5 linked regions of the Rattus norvegicus genome follow. The protein of the gene in region 2 interacts with the protein of the main gene of each other region in a biochemical or structural test. Links are inferred from orthologs where the notes say so. Each region holds a gene or a part of one and is shown on either strand. Other genes may lie near its edges. The genes, in order: Ccnt2, Cdk9, Supt5h, Ctdp1 and Gtf2f1.

Region 1 (4,640 bases), on a different chromosome or scaffold from region 2:
ATGTGAAGGTTAGAGGACAATTTGTAGCATTTGGTTCTTTCCCTCTACCATATGGGCAGTGGTGACTGAACGGATGGCAGCAAGTGCCTTTAGCCAGTTGGCCATCTCAACAGCCTTCACTGACTTTTTAGAAACAAACAAACAAACAGTTTTTGCTACCTTATTACAGTCTTCAGAAAATACTTAAAAACTAAAGTGTAATTTGGTCATATACAATAGGCATTAACTCGGAGGTAGATAACATGTAGCCAAGATGAGTGGCGCTTCCTTACAAAAAGATGGAATTAAATCATCAGCTACTTTATAAAATCCTAAACAAATTTTTCCCTAGTTGGCTTCTCTTGCACTCAGTTGGTACTGTTGGCCTACTATGCCTGAGGCCCTCGGTTGCAAACTGAGCACTTCAACCAAGATGTCGTACACCAGCCTATAATCCCTGCACTGTTTCTGGACAACCTGTGTTACTACGTTCTGCTTCTCCCCAACTGTCCCCAAATCCAACTCGCAGAAACCACACAGAGGTTTAAAACCATACACCCCATCTGGATGGACGATCTAGAGAGTCATGACCTCGAATTATTAACTTTTATAATGTTGGACAAGTAACTTGATAAGAAAGATATCCGCAGAGTGATGCCACCAACCTGTAATCCCAGCACTTCCGAGGGGGAGGCAAGAGGATTGTAAATTCAAGCTCATCCTTGGTTAAAAGAGTGAATTCAAAGCCAGCCTGGGACACATGACACATTGTTTTTAAAATAACCCATACTCCTTGAATGGCTTTAGGTTTAAAGTAACGTTTTAAAGGCGCATGCCCCCAACATCTACTAGCGATGTTTGAAAAAACACAGAAGACACTTAAGTGTTGATCATTGTTAGAATTAGCGTTCTTTCTTTCCAGTCTTTCCTAGCTAACTCCTCCCAGAGCCGACCTCCCGATACGAGGCCATTCGTGGGCACAGGGGTCAACACAGCTAAGAAAATACACCCACAAACATTTAAGAAAATGGAGGCTACCGCATGAAGCCGAAACTATAAAAGCCTTTTCTGACTTTAATGCACCCACGAACTCACAGACCAAAAACATTAAACGTTGAGTTGAAGGATAACGCCCAGGCCCTATTGGGCAGTCGCGTGACCTCTTCCTTGTCCGCCCCGCCCCTCCTCCTTAGCCCCCTCCCAGACCCAGCATGCACCGCGTCGACCTTTTATTTTTCGAGCGACCCCCTACTTTACGGCGCCTCCCAATGACAACAGGCGCGGAGCATTGTGGTCCCGCGAGCCAGAGAGACACAGAGGAGGGAGGCCGGAAAGAGAAAGCAAAAGACCAGTGCGAGCCGGCCGGGCCGGTCCCTGCGCGTGCGCATGGGTAGCAGCAGGCCCGGAAAAGGCGTGGCCCACTCTACGGAGAGCGCATTGGGGCGGGGCCTCAATGCATTGGCGCGGAGTCCCGGAGGCAGGCGGGGAGGGGGCGGGCTAAGGGTGCGGGCGGAGGAGGAAGTGTCATGGCGTCGGGCCGTGGAGCTTCTTCTCGCTGGTTCTTTACTCGAGAACAGCTGGAGAACACGCCGAGCCGCCGCTGCGGAGTGGAAGCGGATGAAGAGCTGTCGCATCGCCAGCAGGCGGCCAACCTCATCCAGGACATGGGGCAACGTCTTAATGTGTATCCTTTTCCTAGTTGCGGCCCTGCGTCCCACACGCCCCGGTCGCGCTCGCCGGGTGACCGGGCCTAGTGTCCCGGTAACATGGCGCCGTTCTCTCTCTGCGGTCTTTTGATCTCGGCAGAGAAACACAAAAAGCTAGGGCCCCAGCTGCGGCGGAGAGCCCAAGGAAGAGGAGATGTGCCGGGGAAGGCGGGCCGGGAGCCCGCGTTGTGTAACCTGTGTCGGGAAGCGCGTGATGCGGTAGGGAATAGCAGTGCTTCCCTGGCGAGAGAGGAATCCGGGATGAGCGAAGCCAAGGGGCGGCCCTTCCACTTCTTCAGAAGTCAGAAAAGGCCTTGAGACGTAGAAAGGTCCCAGATGTTTCACGGAAAGTGTTTTTCAAGGCTTCCTTGCCGGCTCCAGGGCGGCTCTGTTGCGCGGTGGGAACGCATAGAGATGTTTCATGTTCTTCGGGTGTGCGGCGCGCGCCTTTCGACTACTTTATTTCTACTGTACTAAGCTGTAGCCATTGCAAGTAACTCCTGGGCTCTTTCTACGTAGCGTATTAGAATAATTTGGCATTTGGCCTGATTTCTCTTCTCCCCGCAGACTTCTTACATTCAAGTTGAGAATAGGATTTTGTGTAAATGGAAAGGGGTTTTCCATTCAAATTAATTTAGTTTTTGCCCAGTTTATTTTCTAAACGTTGCATCCCAGCTCTCAGCTTACAATAAACACTGCGATTGTTTATATGCACAGGTTTTATATGCACCATTCTTTCACCAAATTCAACAGAAATGTAAGTACTGCTTTATTGTTTTAGTCGTCGAATGTTAAAATGAGTAGATACTGCAGAAACAAGTTGGTTGATCGTTGTTTTTACTATTAAATTGAATGTTCTGAGTTTTCCATAAGTGTGAGTTATGTAATAAACGTTTTGCCTCAAATGCAGAGGTGTGTGTGAGAGAGAGAATTTTATTAAACTGTAAGGCACAGAGTAAGCCTTTTGTTGTTGGATTTTGGTTTTTCTTTTTTCTTTTTTTTTTTTTTTTTGTGGTGGTGGGTGGTGGTTTGTTTTGAGACAGGGTCTCGCTGTGTGGGTCTGACTGTCCTGGACCTAAATATGTAGAGCAGGTTGGCCTTGAACTCAAAAGAGACACCTAGCTACCTCTTGTCTCACACTTGGGATTAAGGAATGTGCACCAAGCCTGACGGAGAAACAAGCGTGTTTTATTAATTTAAACTTTGCAGGTGGGGTGATTTATATTAGAATAATTTCAGTAATCACAACAGAATAATTTGGCCAAATCTAGTCATTGGAGAAGATACATTTAATTGTATAGGATTCGTTGTTTCAAATGTTAAGAATTGAGACTTGGGTAGTTACATTGCTTAGAAGTAATACTTTGAAAAGGCTACTGTTTAGAGAAATCCTGCAGTGAGGTTAATTACTGTGTGAAGAGGTTGTCAAGCAGCTTTGCTTTTGTCCCCTTACGCCAGTGTCAGCACTCCCAACTCACCACTCAAATACTGTGTTCGCTTTTGTTGAAGGAAGCCTGTCAGACAGTCTTTTCTGGTCTTGAATATAACATGTACATCTTGACATCTGGGTAGTTATTTTAATAAATAAATTAGTTTGTTTACTCTGAGACTGTATCACCGTGCAATGCAAGATGGCCTCAAATTCTTGCCTGCCTCAGCCCTCCTTGAGTGCTGGCCTGTGCACCATACATGACTTCTAACTGTTTTAAAGCTATCAAAATTACTCAGAATAACATGTAATACATTTTTTAGTCCCCATTCTCATATTACTTATAAATTTTAGCCCCATTAATTTTTCACTTCTTTATTATTTGCCTTGTAGTAGAATTTTGGTAGTGTTATTCTGAAAGGTACATTAGGAAAATAGGCCACGTAAGGACTTAACTTCTTTGTGGATAGTTTGTGGAATTCAGCCTCTCATTGCTAAGCAAACAAGTTTAGAAAAGTTTGTTACATTGTTGCCTTTGAAGTGGCAGAAATTGTATGGTTTAGATTATTAATTTCTGCTTTAAGTTCAACTGATCTTAAGTCTAACCTGGTTTATCAAGTTTGCAAATTGCTTTTTTTTTTTTTTTTTTTTTTTGGACAGTGGAGTTTTCTTTATAACTGGGCTTTTGCAGTCCCTCTTCTGTTCTCTTTTCATCTTTTTTGAGTCATGCTCTTTCCCGATTAATTTGTATCACTCTTAGATCAATTTTGGTGCTGTAGAGAAGAAAAGAACCTACTGTTTATAATGCTTATGCTAAGAGAATCAAGTTTTTATTTCAGTTCTCTAAAAGTAGCAATGAATTAGCCAGCACTAAATAAACTTGGCTTTTTCAAATAGCCCCAAATAATGCTGGTAAAAACTACAAAACTCTTTATAGAGCTGTAGATGTCCTATTTTTGTGAATGGGTTTGTTTTTCTATTTTCAGTAAAAGGTCTTTTTCTATTTTAACCACAGGTCTTGCTTTTTGAGCCCTTCCTTTATTTGTTTTTGTGGCCTGGTTTGTATGCTTTAAGCAAACATCCTTCCCAGTGGTAGAATCTGTCTCTTCAAATTTGCCTAGTTAGTCCAGGTCACCCGGTTCTTGCTTCACCACTGTGCTTATTGCCTTAAGCATATGAAGGAGTACTTGAACACTTTGTCTTTCCTGGCCGGATAATTGAAATGTCTGTTTGGGGAAGCAGCAGCATCCCTCCTACCTCAGACGTCTTTCTTGCTTCTGTTTTTGTTGCTTAAAGGTGATTTCAAATACTCAAATTTCAAGTACCACGTACTTGTATCAGTAGTCCTCCCCACACACCTGATCTTTTAGTGATGTTAGTGATGATCTCTAATTGAACATCTTTCCTATTTAAATTCATATTTCCTGCATTATTGAATTTTTCTCAGAAGGTTATAATCAAGTATCATTTTAAAAAAACTCAAGTAACATTTGATAAATTAAACCCAACAGAATAAGAAGCTGAGA
Region 2 (4,513 bases):
AGTGTTATCCAGCCTGTGTAAGGTCAGCAGACCTCAAACACACTAACAATGAGGCATGACAAACTCTAGAGCCAGCCTTATCATAGTGTGACCAGGAGCAGACAACCTCTGATTTCTGATCTGAGATTTCTTCTGTAAAATGGGTTCATATTTTTTTTCTGTAAAACCCAGTTCACATGTTTGTTTCAGAATGTCCAGCAGATATCTCTCTCTCTCTCTCTCTCTCTCTGTTATTATTTCCTGGTTGTCCTAGAACTCACTCTGGAGATCAGGCTAGCCTCGAACTCAGAGATCCACCTGCCTCTGCTAAGTGCTGGGATTAAAGAGGTGCGCCATCACTACCCAGCTCATGCCCAGCATTTCAAAAACGCGCAGGAGTGCCTGTTCAATTTTAACCATTTTTGGGATGATTGACGCAGGACAGACCAGCTTAGCCGCAGCTCTGTGAAGGAAGGCAGTAGATCCATCCTTGCCTTCCTGACCACACAGGATCCAGGGTTTAGGCCTGAGCGTCGCCGCGCCCCCTGGCGGCCGTCAGTTGCCATGTCAACGGCGGGTGGCTGAGACGGCGGAGGCGGCAGCGGGGGCAGTTCTCTCTTCCCCGGGCCTCAGGCCGCTCCCTCGGCACCTCCTGCCTTCGCCTCACTGGGAGCACACTCCCAGCCCTGGAAGAAGGGCCCTTCTGTGGCAGCTGGCATTAGGGGGGTAAACTGAGGCACGCAGCAGGGCGCCGCAGGCAGGTGTCTAGTGCGGAGCCCCACCTCCAAACGCAGAGGAGGGGCTGCTAGCAGTGACGCGCCGAGGGCGGACGCTGGACTGGGAGCGGGAGGGCGGGAGGCGGCGGCGGCAGGTGCGGCCGCGGAGGGTGGGAGGAGGAGGGAGGGGGCGGGAGGGGGAGGGGAGGCCAGGACGGGGACCTCCCCCTTTATAACGCGCCCCCTCCCGGGCTCTCGGGCCGCCTCCTCGTCTGCTCTTGCTATCTCGCCCCCTTTCCTGGCCGCCCCGGGCCGGGTTTGGCCAGGGAGCCCCCGCCCCCAGGCCTTCCCCACACCCCCACCCGTCGCCCCGCGCAGCCCGGCGGAGGCGGCGCCGTCGGAGGAGGAGGAGCAGGGCACTGCGGCTGGCCCCGGATCGGGAGCCAGAGCGGCAGCAGCTTCGGCAGCAGCACGGCCCGGGCCAATGCAGCGGGACGCACCGCCACGAGCCCCAGCCCCAGCGCCACGGCTCCCTGCGCCCCCGATCGGGGCCGCCAACAGCACTAGCGGCGGCGGCGCAGGCGGGGGCAGTGGCGGCGGCGGAGGCTCCTCTGCAGCTCCGGCTCCCCCTGGCCTCCCGGGAACTACAAGTCCCAGGGGGCCTGGCGGCGGGCGGAGACCGGAAGAGGCGGGCTCGGCACCTCGAGGCCGGAAGTGGCCTTGGAGGCGGAAGTGGCGCGGCCGCGGAGGGGCCTGGAGTGTGGCGGGACCGGGAGCGGCGGGAGCTGCGGCTGGGGGCGGCGGCGGCGGCGGCGGCGGCGGCGGCGCGCTGGAGGCGGCCATGGCCAAGCAGTACGACTCAGTGGAATGCCCGTTTTGCGATGAGGTCACCAAGTACGAGAAACTTGCCAAGATCGGCCAAGGCACATTCGGGTAAGATTAGGCCGCGTGGGACCGGTAGCCCAGGACCTGCACTTTCCATGGCCTATATCGGGTCGTTCAGGGCCGGGGCCCGAGGTGGTACGGAAGCTTCTATTTCCTTGATTGTTGCCTGGTCTTGCTAGGCCGCGCCGCAGACGCTCCCGGCCTAACCGAGCGGACTGGCAGGGAGGAGCCTGAGGCCCGTGATGGGGGTTGGGTAGGGTTGCTGAGAGGAACTCAGTTTGTGAGCGGACACCTCTGGGGGGAGGAGTGGGAGCCGAGTAGGAGTAAGAGCAGGGGCTGGGAGAAGGACAGAAAACACGTGGTGTGGAATAACAGCTTACAGGAGTCCCGGGCCGCACCCCACCGTGTGTCTGGTCTCCCGCTGCTCCTCTTCGCGTGGGGGAGGGGCGGTCCCTGCGGAAATGCCTGATGGGTCCCTCGGGTCTTTGTGTTGCAGGGAAGTATTTAAAGCCAAGCACCGTCAGACCGGCCAGAAGGTGGCTCTGAAGAAAGTGTTGATGGAGAATGAGAAGGAGGGGGTGAGTATATGGACCACTGGGCAGTTCTTCTAACCTGTGCTCGGTTTCCACACTGCTACTTAAAAGGGTTTTGTGCTGAGATTCCACCCAAGTATTTTTCGATTTTCCGTGTGACAAGACATTTGGCTTTCCACTTAGACTTTTGAGTTTTTGTGGCAAAGTTCGGTGGGAGGCAAGTGAGGGAGCCTGTGCTTTGCGTGAAAGTGCACGTTGCCTCTAGAAGTGGGGTTTTTGAAAACTTCCAGCTTAGCGTCGAATTTTGTTTTGTACGAAGGGACAATTTGTGCACAGGCAATTTAAAAGGCAGCTTAGCTTAAGGCGTGTTTTGAAGCATGATGTCCCCGTCTTAGCTTTAGTACAGCGTTTTCTTTGTAAGGAAAAAGCTGTTTGACTATTTCCTGTCTATGCGTGTCTTGTTTTCTGGTGTGGCTGTGTACAGCATGCCTGTCTGGTACCTGGGCACCTGAGGAGACCATGCTAGGCTGCCTTGGATCACTTGGGACTAGAATTAAAAAGATCCACCATGTAGAGGCTGGGATTGAACCTAGGTCCTCCGGAAGAACAGCCAGTGTTGTATGTGTGTGTGCATGCATATGTGTATGTCTCCCTGAAATAGGGACTCAACATAAGACTTGTTTAATACAAAAATCTCTCAGTATCCCAGCTGTTCTCAGACTCGCAGAGGGTCAACTGCCTGTGCCCGGAGTGCTGGGAATAAAGGCTTGGGCTGCCACTCTTAGCCAGGACTGGTTTGCTTAACTATTCATCTATCTCTGGACCCAGGGAATTTCTTGATTTTAACCCACAAGCATTAGTGCCAAAGATTTTGTCCCTATTTGAGTTGTCTAAAATAAATTCCTGGCCCAGCGTAGAGGGCTATGATTGTAGTTCCAGCATTTACGAGGCCAAAGAAAAAGGATGGTTCACAAGTCCAAAGCCGCCATTGTCTAGATGGCAAAATCTAGCAGCTCCTTGAGTGAGATGTGTGTGTCCTTTCACTTACCTTCTGCTTTACAGAGACTGGTTGCAGATAAATATATTTATTTTCCCCTCAAGCAAGAGCTCAACTAACCAGACTGGCCTTGAACTTGGGACAGTTCTACTCTCTATTTGACTCCTGATAGTAGGATTGGATTCCAGACAGGAACCGTCTGTCACACAAAAACTATACTCTTACCTGCCTTTCAACCTCTGTCCCTCAGTATAGATCACACACACACACACACACACACACACACACACACACACACACACTTTTACTTCATGGGTCTGTTGCTCTCAATTTTGACCACTTCCTCTCTTTCTCCTCCCTAGTTCCCCATCACAGCCTTGCGGGAAATCAAGATTCTACAGCTCCTAAAGCACGAGAATGTGGTCAACCTGATTGAGATTTGTCGAACCAAAGGTACGATGCTCGTTCTCGGGATAAAATGAACCTTAAACCTTTGCTTGCACTCCTGAGGTAAATGTGCTTAATGCCTCCTCCTGACTTGACTTGATCACACAGCTTCCCGATCTGTTTTGTTTTGAGACAGGGTTGCCCTGTGTAGCCCTGGCTGTCCTTGACCTTGCTCCATAGACCAGGCTAGCCTCACACTGCCTCTGCCTCCCTAGTGCTAGGGCTAAAGGCATGCACCACCAGTGACTGACCACCAGCTTCTCCGGGCTTTCTCCGATGGAGTTGGGTGTTTGTGGATTGGAGGGCTGGGAGTTGGCTGTGGAAAATGAGGTGGGTGCAGGTTTTTTATTTTCCCTCCCACCCTCTCTCCCTATTCTGCACCAGCTTCACCCTATAACCGCTGCAAAGGCAGCATCTATCTGGTGTTCGACTTCTGTGAGCATGACCTCGCTGGGCTGCTGAGCAATGTCTTAGTGAAGTTCACGTTGTCTGAGATCAAGAGAGTAATGCAGATGCTGCTGAATGGCCTCTACTACATCCACAGGAACAAGGTGAGGCCTGGGGCCGGGACAGACTGGGGCTTCTTTGCTCTTCACTGCCTTGTGGGTGGGTCTCTGGGATACTATGAGACCTGACCGAGCTCTCATGCGTCCTCCCTGCAGATCCTGCACAGGGACATGAAGGCTGCCAACGTGCTCATTACCCGAGATGGGGTCCTAAAGCTGGCAGATTTTGGGCTGGCTCGCGCCTTCAGCCTAGCTAAGAATAGCCAGCCCAACCGATACACCAACCGTGTGGTGACATTGTGGTACCGACCTCCGGAGCTCCTGCTCGGTGAGGACTCCCGAGCGGGCAGAGGGGGGCAGGGGCCGGGTACTTACCTGGCCACAGCCCCCGTTGCCGGGGGCCTCTTTAGCCATCAGCCTTGGGACCTGGAGTCTCAGGAGGCCCTCGGG
Region 3 (3,908 bases), on a different chromosome or scaffold from region 2:
GCTTTGGAAGCGGATGCCCAGCCAACCCTGCACTGTTCCCTCAGGGAAGGAGCGAGAGCACAATTTCCAGCCTGGTGACAATGTGGAGGTGTGTGAGGGTGAGCTCATCAACCTGCAGGGCAAGGTCCTCAGCGTGGATGGCAACAAGATCACCATCATGCCCAAACATGAGGACCTCAAGGTGAGGCCACAGGCCTGACCGTGTTTGGTCATGGCACGTTGTATGGAAGATGTTCAGGCAGTGTTTTCTGTCCTTACAGAGGACATGTTTGACCTTTTTTGACTCCGTGTGCTAACGGGTCTGCTGAGAGTATTTAGGCCTACTTTCTGTGATTAGGGAAGCAGGTTGAAGCAGTTGAAGTCTCAGGCCTGATTCTGCCTGTCTGTAGGGGACTGTGTGGGTTCATGCTATGTCCTGGGCTCTGTCCTGTGTATAGGGAAGACAGTGTCATAGTGACACGCGTATGTGCGGGTGTTTAAAGGAGAGGAAGAATGCATCCAAGGGACACCTCCCTCACCCTTCTTTGGTGCATGTGTGTGGTACTCAGGATGGAGCCCAGGGCTTTGTGCATGCTCTATAAGTGCCCTACCCCTTAGCCTCACCCCCAACCCCTGCTGATGACTCCTAGGCATGTGTTAGACCACTGAGCTACACCATCAACCCCTCACTAGTATCATCCAGGCAGGGGCTCACCACTGAGCCAGGCCCCAGTCCCTCACTGGTGACGTCTTCCACTGAGTCCCCCTTTTTGTTTTTTACATTGACTTGTTTTGCATGTGCACATGCCACAGCATACGCATGGAGGTCAGCGTCTGTTCCCTCCTTCACCAGTCTTTGCTCAGGATTGAACTCATGCTGACAGACTTGTCCTAAGTTCCCTTACCACTGAACCATTTTGCTGGTCACCTTTGCCTTTTTTTTTTTTTCCTTCCTTTTTTGGAATCAGGATCTCCCTATGTAGCACTGGCTGAACTGGAACCCACCATGTAGGTCAAGCTGGCCTTAAATTCATAGAGATCCGCCTGCTTCTGCCTCCCAAATGCTGTGGTTAAAGGCATTTGGCACTGTGCCTGACTTCCTTTTACTTACAGAAAAAATGTTTTTCTTAAATTCCTGTGTATGTATATGAGGAAGAAGGGCAGGATTTAGAGCTTGGGTTATCAGCTTTGGCAAAATGCTGAGCCCTCTCACTGGTTCTGTTGACTTTTTTTTTTCCTTTTTTTTCGGAGCTGGGGACCGAACCCAGGGCCTTGTGCTCGCTAGGCAAGCGCTCTACCACTGAGCTAAATCCCCAACCCCTCTGTTGACTTTTGAGTCAGGAACTTGCTAAATTATTCAGGCTATCCTTGAACTTGTGGTCCTTCTGCCTCATCCTTTCTAGTAGCTGGAATGATCAGCTTGTGACCAATAGATCCCTATTATGTGATGTTTCCTGATGTCTTGGTTAGGGCTTTACTGCTGTGAACAGACACCATGACCAACACAACTCTTATAAGGACAACATTTAGTTGGGGCTGGCTTACAGGTTCAGAGGTTCAGTCCATTATCATCAAGGCAGGAACATGGAAGCATCCAGGCAGGCCTGGTGCAGGAGGAGCTGAGAGTTCTACATCTTCATCTGAAGGCTGCTAGAAGACTGGCTCCCAGGCAGCTAAGACAAGGAAGGGTCTTAAAGTCCACGCCCGGGGCTGGGGATTTAGCTCAGTGGTAGAGCGCTTGCCTAGGAAGCCCAAGGCCCTGGGTTCGGTCCCCAGCTCCGAAAAAAAGAACCAGAAAAAAAAAGTCCACGCCCACAGTGACACACCTACTCTGACAAGGCCACACTTCCTAACGGTGCCATACAATAGACCAAGCACGTACAAACCATCACACCTGATATGTTGTCGAGTGGCTGTCTTAGAGTCTGTCATGAGATAATAACATGGTTTGTCTTTTTTTTTTTTTTTTTTTCTGGTTCTTTTTTTCGGAGCTGGGGATTGAACCCAGGGCCTTGCGCTTCCTAGGCAAGCGCTCTACCACTGAGCTAAATCCCCAGCCCCATGGTTTGTCTTTTGTTGTTTCTGAAGAGCAAACAGGAGTAACCTGAGGTCATAGCATGCCTTCAGTCATTGTGTGTGTGTGTGTGTGTGTGTGTGTGTGTGTGTGTGTGTGTGTGTGTGTGTGTACGTGTGCGCGCGCATGTATGTATGATGAGTTATTGGTGCCAGTATTCAGTGTCTTGGGCTAGGGAATGGAAGACTGTTGCAAGCGAGGTCCATGTATCTGAGGACAAGTTGTCTGTGGGTTCAGGCATGTGCATATGGCTCATGGGTTGGTCATCTTTGGGGTAAAAGGTCTCCCTGCCTGGGGCAGCTCCCTGAGAAGTGTCTCGGGTGGGTGGTAGGAAAGCTGCAGTGTCTCTTCTGTGATTGAGGGGATGCAAGGTGGGCCCAGTGATGATGGCTTTTCTTGAGTACTTACTGTTCCCATGGCCAAATTTCCCAGGACATGCTTGAGTTCCCAGCTCAGGAACTTCGGAAGTACTTCAAGATGGGAGACCATGTAAAAGTGATTGCTGGCCGATTTGAGGGTGACACAGGTCTCATCGTGCGGGTGGAAGAGAACTTTGTTATTCTTTTCTCAGACCTCACCATGCACGAGGTAAGTGCTTGGAAGAGCGTGGGATAGGCATTGGGTACTAAGCGGATGCTCCAGTGGGTAATTCCCTGGGGCCTGCCTCGCTCCTTCCCTCCTTCCCCTGTCTCTCCACAGTTGAAAGTGCTTCCCCGGGATCTGCAGCTCTGCTCAGAGACAGCCTCAGGTGTGGATGTTGGGGGCCAGCATGAGTGGGGTGAGCTGGTGCAGTTGGATCCCCGGACTGTAGGTGTCATCGTGCGGCTGGAGCGAGAGACCTTCCAGGTGTGTCTTACGTTACGCTCCTATCCCAAGAGCATGTCCTTGGAGGTAGTAGAGCAACGTAGTGGCCAAGCCCACAAAGTGCACTGAGTAGCAGGCCTGGGAAGGCTCCCTGAAGCCTGTTTGTGTAATGTTGGCAAGTGGCCTGTCATTTTTCCTGCCTGCCTCAATTGTCACACCTCATTGTAAAGTATGCTCCAGTTTTTGGAGCTTTTGAAAAGATGGAGTGCTGGGTTGGGGATTTAGCTCAGTGGTAGAGCGCTTGCCTAACAAGCACAAGGCCCTGGGTTCGGTCCCCAGCTCCGAAAAAAAGAAAAGAAAAAAAAGAAAAAAAAGAAAAAAAAGGAAAAAAAAAAAAGAAAAGATGGAGTGCTACGGTTGCCACAGTTCTGCCCTCCCCCACTTCCCACCCCCATGTGTACATTAGCATAGTACCTAGGACCCTGAATCTGTGTCAGCTTTGTTGCTTCTGTACTGTGTAAAGTAGGACTTGTGATTGTATTCCTCTCAGGGAAGTGTGTGAAGAGTTTAGGAGGGGTGGGTAATCAGTGGGCTCCTCCTCTTATGCCCCTGATGCTCAGTCAGGAAGGCAGAGTCCCCTCCTAAAGCATTCCCTGCCTTCCCCTCCCCGGCTGAGGATGACCTTGAACTCTCCATTCTCCCGCTTCCCCTGAGTGCTGAGATCAGTGCATTTACCAGTCTATGTGGTGCTGACAATCAAACCCAGCTTCATGCATACTCAGACAGCACTGTGAACTGAGCTACACCCCAACTTCTCATAGAGTCTTTTGGAATAATCTAGAATGTCTGTGGCTGACCTAGGGACTGGTGGGTGGTGCTGTGACTTTGCCTCATGGTCAGGATGCTACGTAGGACTCAGGATCTTAGGGTTGTCTCCCCCAAGGAAAGAACAGCTCACTTTACATCACCCTCCCTTCTCATCCTCTGCATCCTTCTCCCTCCAAAGGTTCTCAACATGCATGGGAAAGTGGTGACTGTAAGGCACCAGGCT
Region 4 (3,908 bases), on a different chromosome or scaffold from region 2:
AATGGAATTTTGAGAAGTAGCGTAATAGTTCTGTGATTAACATTTTCTACGAATGTAACCTCCAACTTTCAGCATAACCCGTAGAGTACTCAGACAGGTCGTTTCTAGATTAGACCCTGCATTGCATTCCTCCCACGTGGGTCCTGTTCCTGCTCTGGATGCTTGGGCCCTGCCTCTGCTAATGTCCTGTCGCTGTAATAAGACACCATGACGGAAACAACTTATAAAAGAAAGAATTTAATTAGGGGCTTGCTCACAGTTTCAGAGTGTGAGTCTGTCATTGTAGGGAGCATATGGAAATGTGAGCCTATGGGGTCCATTCTCATTCAGAGCACCACAGGCCCCGAGAGAACCCAACCCTTTCTGTGTCCTCCTGTCCTGTTCCCTATTCCAGGCCATATTGATCTGAAACTACCTTTGTGTGGTTCAGAAGAGGCGCGATGGTCGTCTTCCCCACACATGCTGGGTGTTAGCTTCTCTCCACCTCAGCCATTGCCTTCCATGTCGCCCTTTACCAGCTGGCCTCAGAGATTAGGCCTCAGGGTAGAGCTCACTGCTGCAGAGGTGAAGCACTGACCACACAGGTGAAGGTTTAGGGCTGAGAAGGCAAAGTAGCCTAGAGAAGGAAGGCGCAGGCCAGAGAAGGTGCGGGGCCTGTAGGATGCACACAGCATTGTGAGCACAGCAGCTGCCAGAAGGTCCCGTTTTCGTTCCACACAACTTTCTGGGTTGAAAGATGAGGACACCAGTGCCAGCCTCTCAGAGTTACAGTTTCCTAGGAATTTGCCTGGTGTACATTCCTCTAGTGAATAACACCCAATAAACAGCCAAACTTGCTTTATCTTTGCTGTTTCCCATCTTCCTTTTTTGTCATCTGTCTGTTTTCTGTCTTTCTCTAAGCTCTGTGACCGGGCTTGCTCTTCCTCAGTCCTGCTTGGGAAGCAGCCCTATGTCTGAAATTTGTCATTTTGCACAAGATGTGTCCCATTCCTACCAGTAGAGAGCTGTGTCCACCGTTCTCATGTGTCAAGTGGCATTTGTTTCTATAGTGTGTTTCTCTTAAGACCTGGACCATAGCAGTTCTGTATAGCAGTGAACGGGGTGTGGATGTACAGACATCTTCCTTTGAAGTTTCATTTTTAGATTAAGAGATCCATGGAGATTTGAAAATTGTGCACGTTATTATTAACTAGAAGAATACTATTGCTAGATAGTATAGAGGGAGCAAACTGGGGGCAAAGCAAGGCAGGAGGTAGCATTGGTGCTTCCTCAGTGCAAAGCTGTCTGAGGGCTGGGTGATAGAGTCTACTGGAAGCACTGCGCAGGAATAGACTCCCTGTGCTGTGCTCAGGGTCAGCCGAGGTCCACTGTAAGGGTGCCCGGTGAGCACTTGGCCTTTGCGCTGTTTGTTATTATGTTTATTAATGTGGTCTGACCCAATTGTTTATAAAAACTGAGTTTTCAGGGCTGTGTTCTGACCTGTGACTGAAATATTTACCCATTTTTTAAAGTTTTGTTAAGGAGAATCAAGCAATGGAGAAAAATATTTTAATTTTACTTTCTCTGGAAAACAATAAATTACAAACATATGAAAGCCCCCTGTTATAGCGTGCTTCCTTTTACGGACTCTGCTCTCTGCTCTTCATAGATAGCTGAAAGTCCTCGATTGTTCTTTTTAGCAGAATAAAAGATTATTGTAACTGGCAAACCACTTTCTGTGTAAACTGTATGTGTTTGCTCATAGAAATCTCTTTCCCTGTGGAGATTCAATGGTTTGCATCATTGATGACCGAGAGGATGTGTGGAAGTTCGCCCCTAACCTTATAACTGTGAAGAAGTATGTCTATTTCCCAGGCACAGGTGATGTGAACGCACCCCCTGGGGCCCGGGAATCTCAGACAAGGAAAAAAGGTGGGTGAAAATAGCATTTTGGTAAATGTCTATCTTTTATTTTTAATCTCTGTAATGGAATATTCACTTCATTCTGTTTTGCTTCTTATTTGTATTTCAACTTTCCTGAAGCAGTTGGGTTTCCGTAATGAGAAGTAGGATATTTAAAAATCATATCGGGGCTGGTGCTGTATCTGTGTCTACCACAATCAGTCCCTGGTGCTGGAGGGGAAGGGGGGGGGAGTGGTGGGAGACGCCACACTGGTCTGAGTGTGATGCCACCGCATTCCATCCCGGGAGTTTGGATTGTACACCCATGGAGGGAGGGAGGAAGGTGTGTGTGAGATACAGGTGGGGTGCAGTGGTTCCCCTGTAAGAACCAGCAGATTCTTAGAAAACAGCCGGGACTCAGTCTATGTTGCCTGCGTGAAAACTGCAGGGAATCGAGTCTGAGGCACACAGGAGCCAGAGGTTGTCTGAAGGAAATTACATTTCTCTCTATGGAGCTTTTAAGACGTAGTCTGTCTATGTAGCACAGGCCCTTCCTTCAGCCTCCCAACTATGGGGGTACAGGTGTGCACCACCAAGTTCAGTTTGCAAGTTTTGGTTTTAAGTTTTTATGGTGAACTGAAATAGAATGTTTAGAGGCATATATTGCTTCTGTAGGCACTGAAGTAGACAACGAGGGTAAACTTTTCATAGATGAGGACATTGCCTCGGATCACCCGCCCATATAGGCTGCAAAGGCAGAAGGTCTGTTCATGGCCACAGACATGAGCTGGTTATTGTCAGCTCTTAGATCAGAAATTTCCCTAGGCCTGAGCCAGAGAGGACAGACAGTTCAGACTGTCCTGGAGAAGGGTGAGGTTTAGGTTCAAAAGTTATTTACCATTAAATAACCGTAACTTTTCCTTTTGTATGTATATTTAGTAAATCATTCTTCCAAAGGAGCGGACATCTTGGAACAAGCTCTGCCAGTCAAGGACCCTGAGGAAGGCAAACCTCCTGGGGTGGAACAGAGCAATGGCCTTGGGAAGGCCTCCCGGGAGCTCAATGGTGGTGAGGCTGTGCCAGGAGTTTTTTCCAGTAAAACAGATGAGAAGGAAACCTGGTCCCTCACCCGTGCCTCTCCTGCCAGCAGCTCTGGTGGCCGAGAGCTGACAGAAGCTCCAGAGCTCCCTGTGTCTTGTGAGTGGGACAGTCGGACAGCACCAGGAGCGCACCCTACTCAGGGAGATGCCACCCAAGGTTTGGACTTCGACCTGTCCAGTGACAGTGAGAGCAGTGAGAGCAGCAGGTCAGAAGGCCAGAAGTCCTTCTCCTCTGCTTCCGATGGGGAGAATGAGGAGAGGAGACGCAGAAAGAAGTCTCCAGCCACCCAGGATAGAACAAAAGTTCCACAGCACAGTGGGCCCCATGACACGAGTGGGGGGAGGTCTGCAGCAAGCCCCTCGGGAGAGTCTGGGCCTCTCCACCCACATGACAAAGTGTCCGACCCAGATACTCAGGAGGAGGGTGAGCGAGACAGCCTCTGTGGCCTGGGCAACGGCAGTGTGGACCGGAAGGAGGCTGAGACAGAGTCACAGAACAGTGAACAGTCAGGTGTCACTGCAGGCGAGTCCCTAGACCAGAGTGTTGGGGAGGAAGAGGAAGAGGACACAGATGACGATGACCACTTGATACACCTCGAGGAGATCCTAGTGCGAGTACACACTGACTATTACACAAAATATGACAGATACCTCAACAAGGAGCTTGAGGAAGCTCCAGATATACGGAAAATTGTGCCAGAGCTCAAGAGCAAGGTGCTAGCAGATGTGGCCGTCATTTTCAGTGGGCTGCACCCAACAAACTTTCCTGTGGAGAAGACTCGTGAGCACTATCATGCCACAGCTCTGGGAGCCAAGGTCCTCACCCAGCTAGTGCTGAGCCCTGACGCTCCAGACAGGGCCACTCACCTCATTGCAGCGCGGGCCGGTATGTGCCACCATCCCTGCTCCTGTGGGTAGGGAAATGCA
Region 5 (3,740 bases), on a different chromosome or scaffold from region 2:
TTAAAATGACATCTGTTGGGCCACAGGTGTGTGAGGGATGCAGAGTTGAGATCAGAGAAGAGTTTGCAGGAGTCGGTTCTCACTTTATGCTGTGTGGGTCCTAGGGCTTGAACTCAAGCCTCAGTCCTTTTGCAGGCTATACTTTATGCAGACTATATAGCAAGTACTATCTTTCCCAGCCTTTTTACATACAGTTTTGAGTCAGGGTATCTAACTGGACCTGGGGCTTGCTGACCTGTGAGTCCCAGGGACCCTGCTGTCTACACCGTTCTCCTGGGGTCGCAGATGCACACTTCCATACCCAGCTTTGTCTGTGGTACTGGGGGTCTGGACTCCCGATCCTTATGCTTGCAAGGCAGCTACGTTATCCACTGAGGCGTCTCCACCGCCCTCTCCCTGGGCAGAGCAGGTGCTCATATCCCTGCCCTCATGCCGCATGCGGGTGTGCTGGGGCACGTGAGGCCTGGCACAGCGCGACAGGAGAGTATCCCTGCTCCTGCTTCCCTCCAGGCACGGCTGGAGCGAGATCTGAGCAACAAGAAGATCTACCAGGAAGAGGAGATGCCAGAGTCTGGTGCAGGAAGTGAATTCAACCGCAAGCTCAGGGAGGAGGCTCGCCGGAAGAAGTATGGCATCGTCCTGAAGGAGTTCCGGCCTGAGGACCAGCCCTGGCTACTCCGTGTCAATGGCAAATCGGGGAGGAAGTGAGTGGTGCTGATGGTGGGGAGTTCCAGCTTGTGTCCCTCACACACGCATGCTTAGGAGACATTGTCCTCAAGTCTGTTCCCAACAGGATGGGGGCCCAGGACCACCTCTCTTGTCAAAGTTTAATCTTAAACTGGAGACTGTTGGCCTGGCTCAATAGCCTGACTGTGACCTGGAGAGCACCTTGACACTTGGGATGGTGGAGCCTGAGAAAGCCAGTGACCAGTACTCTATGCATAGTTACTCAGTGGACTGATAGCTGGAGCCTGCATGCTGTAGGGCCCCACAGTAGCCATGGTGGGTTATAGGCTGGGAGCAGCTGTGAGGATGGTGGCCACAAGGTGGCAGAGTGGTACTTGGTTAAGGAGGTGGTGGCCCATGCCTTTCTGTCCTGTCATTCCTAGAAGAGCCCAGATGGGTACTGTAAGGGGGTGGATGGAGTGCAGGCAGGCCCTGTGGGTGAGGTCCTGACCTAACTGAGGCTCTCTGCAGGTTCAAGGGCATCAAGAAAGGCGGGGTAACAGAGAACACGGCCTACTACATCTTCACACAGTGTGCGGATGGCGCCTTCGAGGCCTTCCCTGTGCAGAACTGGTACAATTTCACACCGCTGGCCCGACACCGCACACTGACTGCTGAGGAAGCTGAGGAGGAATGGGAGAGGTGAGGCAGAAGTGGTGGTTATAATGTGTATGCCCTTGGAGCAAGCCTGCCTGGAGCAGGAAGCAGTGCTTCCTTTGGCAGGCCTGGGAGCTGAGTGAAGGCTAGTACCACAGATAGGCACAGCCTGGGGGTCAGGGAGGCGCCTCTTCATGGCAACCGCCTCAGTTCTAGCTTGGGAGGTAGAAACAAAGATGGGTACAGGGAAGCTGGGATAGAGAAACTCAGTGGACAGCATAAGATGTCGTGTACACCTGCTGAGGGTGGGCCCTGTGTGTCCAGAGAGGGCTGTTGGAATTGATGTGGTCCATGGGGTTGCTCTGTGCTTGCCTACAAGCCTGGAATAGTGCCGGTTCTCAAGGGCTGGGATTGAAATGTCAAAAGCAGCTCCTCCTACTATGCTTAGCCTTATTCTGGGCACACATAGGTTCATGGACAGCTCCTTGTCCAATGAGACCCTACTCTATGTAATCCTTGAGATAAATTAATGATGGGGGTATGGGTGGGGGTAGTGTGAGTGCACACCTCAGCACACAGATGGCAGAAGCAAGAGAATCAGGAGTTCAAGTCCATCTTCTGCTGTATTAAATTTGAGGCCAGCTGTGGTTATACAAGATTTGGTTTCAAAACACCCAGAACTCCAGACACAGTGGTACACGCCTTCTATCTCAGCAAAACACCCAGAGCTCCAGACACAGTGGTGCACACCTTTTATCTCAGCACTTTGGTACACAGGCAACAGGCTCTCTGAGTTTGAGGACTGGTGTATATTCCAAGTTCCATGCCAGCTAAGATCACACAATAAGATCCTGTTTTAAAGGAATTTTAATTGGGCCAAGCCTGATGGTGTACACCTTTAACCCAGCACTCTAGGATGCATTGGCATGAGTATCTCTGTGAGTTCAAGGCCAGCCTGGTCAACATAGTGAGTTCCAAGATAGCCAGGACAGTAGAGATCCTATCTCACAAAACCACAAAACAAAACAAAACAACCCTCCCCAACCCTCCCCTCCCAGGAAAAAGCATAAAAAATTATTTAGCTAACCAATATGATGGCTGGATATGCCTGGAACAGACCCTGAGTCTGGAGGAGCTAAGATGTGGGGTTCCCAGAGGGCTCAAGTGCACGTGGGCCTGAGGCCATTTCAGGGCTCACCCTATATTATTTCAAGATCCGGGGGTCTGAAATGGCCCATGCTGCATGCCCTGCCCCTCCCCCCCTCTGTTGCATGTGGTGTGGCTCAGGTTAACACCCTACAGGGTCTTTCTGCTTTAGCTTCCTCACAGTGTGCGCGCCTTAACGAGGTTACCCCGTCATGCCCATTGTCCCTGAAAAGGACGGTGCCCATCTGAGTGTCCTGGTCATTATCTTCCACCAGCCTCTGCTGCACAACGTACTCAGTCACTTGTCCCCATGTGTAGGAGGAACAAGGTCCTGAACCACTTCAGCATCATGCAGCAGCGGCGACTCAAGGACCAGGACCAGGATGAAGATGAGGAGGAGAAGGAGAAGCGCAGCCGTAAGAAGCCTAGTGAACTGCGCATTCATGACCTGGAAGATGACCTGGAAATGTCATCCGATGCCAGTGATGCCAGTGGAGAAGAGGGTGAGTGGGGACCCAGAGGTCTTCAAGACAAGGCCATGCTGAGTTAACACCACCTGGGAAGTCATGGCGCAGAGTTACTGAGGAAATGAATGGCACCTTACAGACTTTCCATGGGACCAGTTTGTTTAAATGTTCAAGGTTGCTGTGCCGCAGGCCACATGGGCCTGGTTGATTATAGGGATAGGGCTTTTGGTGACTGAATGGCAGAACAAGTAGAGTGGGCTGAGGACAGTGCACAGGAGGGGTAAGCCTTCCACTTTCTCTAAGAATTGGCTCAACCCGAGTGCAGTCTCCCTGTCAAGATAACACACAAAAAAGACATGGTGTGCTTGCTGTGATCCCAGAACTCAGGTCTGAGGCGAGAGAATTCCGACCCTATCTTTTTTTTTTTTTTTTTAAGATTTATTTATTTTTATGTTTGAGTCCACTGTAGCTGTCTTCAGACAAACAGAAGAGGGCATCAGATCCCATTACAGATGGTTGTGAGCCACCATGTGGTTGCTGGGAATTGAACTCAGGACCTCAGGAAGAGCAGTCAGTGCTCTTAACGTCTGACCCACAGCTCCAGCCCACTGATCCTATCTTTGAAACACGACGGTGGTAGCACTGTCTTTAATCCCAGCACTCAGAGGCGGAGGGTAGTAGATCTCTGTGAGTTCAAGGTAGTCTACAGAGCACGTTCCAGGACAGCCACAGATAGAGAAGCCCTGTCTACAAAAACAAAAATAAACAAAAGCTCCCCAAACCCCACACAACACAACACAAGTA

What was found.
Region 1: the proteins of Cdk9 (region 2) and Ccnt2 form a complex in vitro, tested with the Homo sapiens proteins (4 studies listed by BioGRID, with this or other methods). The link is inferred for Rattus norvegicus from reciprocal best matches to the Homo sapiens genes CDK9 and CCNT2.
Region 3: of the proteins of Cdk9 (region 2) and Supt5h, one has a biochemical effect on the other in vitro, tested with the Homo sapiens proteins (4 studies listed by BioGRID, with this or other methods). The link is inferred for Rattus norvegicus from reciprocal best matches to the Homo sapiens genes CDK9 and SUPT5H.
Region 4: of the proteins of Cdk9 (region 2) and Ctdp1, one has a biochemical effect on the other in vitro, tested with the Homo sapiens proteins (3 studies listed by BioGRID). The link is inferred for Rattus norvegicus from reciprocal best matches to the Homo sapiens genes CDK9 and CTDP1.
Region 5: the proteins of Cdk9 (region 2) and Gtf2f1 form a complex in vitro, tested with the Homo sapiens proteins (2 studies listed by BioGRID, with this or other methods). The link is inferred for Rattus norvegicus from reciprocal best matches to the Homo sapiens genes CDK9 and GTF2F1.

Annotation. Positions count from the first base shown.
Region 1 is NC_086031.1:41,802,576-41,807,215, forward strand, and holds the start of Ccnt2 (cyclin-T2), read left to right. Parts: upstream 1-1,470; 5' UTR 1,471-1,505; coding exon 1,506-1,663; intron 1,664-2,360; coding exon 2,361-2,442; intron 2,443-4,640. UniProt on the Homo sapiens protein: Regulatory subunit of the cyclin-dependent kinase pair (CDK9/cyclin T) complex, also called positive transcription elongation factor B (P-TEFB), which is proposed to facilitate the transition from abortive to production elongation by phosphorylating the CTD (carboxy-terminal domain) of the large subunit of RNA polymerase II (RNAP II).
Region 2 is NC_086021.1:36,395,996-36,400,508, reverse strand, and holds the start of Cdk9 (cyclin-dependent kinase 9), read left to right. Parts: upstream 1-1,492; 5' UTR 1,493-1,536; coding exon 1,537-1,628; intron 1,629-2,076; coding exon 2,077-2,158; intron 2,159-3,472; coding exon 3,473-3,563; intron 3,564-3,941; coding exon 3,942-4,108; intron 4,109-4,219; coding exon 4,220-4,391; intron 4,392-4,513. UniProt on the Homo sapiens protein: Protein kinase involved in the regulation of transcription.
Region 3 is NC_086019.1:92,720,198-92,724,105, reverse strand, and holds part of Supt5h (transcription elongation factor SPT5), read left to right. Parts: intron 1-44; coding exon 45-181; intron 182-2,485; coding exon 2,486-2,641; intron 2,642-2,752; coding exon 2,753-2,899; intron 2,900-3,863; coding exon 3,864-3,908. UniProt on the Homo sapiens protein: Component of the DRB sensitivity-inducing factor complex (DSIF complex), which regulates mRNA processing and transcription elongation by RNA polymerase II.
Region 4 is NC_086036.1:76,169,507-76,173,414, reverse strand, and holds part of Ctdp1 (RNA polymerase II subunit A C-terminal domain phosphatase), read left to right. Parts: intron 1-1,744; coding exon 1,745-1,911; intron 1,912-2,820; coding exon 2,821-3,867; intron 3,868-3,908. UniProt on the Homo sapiens protein: Processively dephosphorylates 'Ser-2' and 'Ser-5' of the heptad repeats YSPTSPS in the C-terminal domain of the largest RNA polymerase II subunit. This promotes the activity of RNA polymerase II.
Region 5 is NC_086027.1:1,933,806-1,937,545, reverse strand, and holds part of Gtf2f1 (general transcription factor IIF subunit 1), read left to right. Parts: intron 1-510; coding exon 511-704; intron 705-1,197; coding exon 1,198-1,368; intron 1,369-2,787; coding exon 2,788-2,972; intron 2,973-3,740. UniProt on the Homo sapiens protein: TFIIF is a general transcription initiation factor that binds to RNA polymerase II and helps to recruit it to the initiation complex in collaboration with TFIIB. It promotes transcription elongation.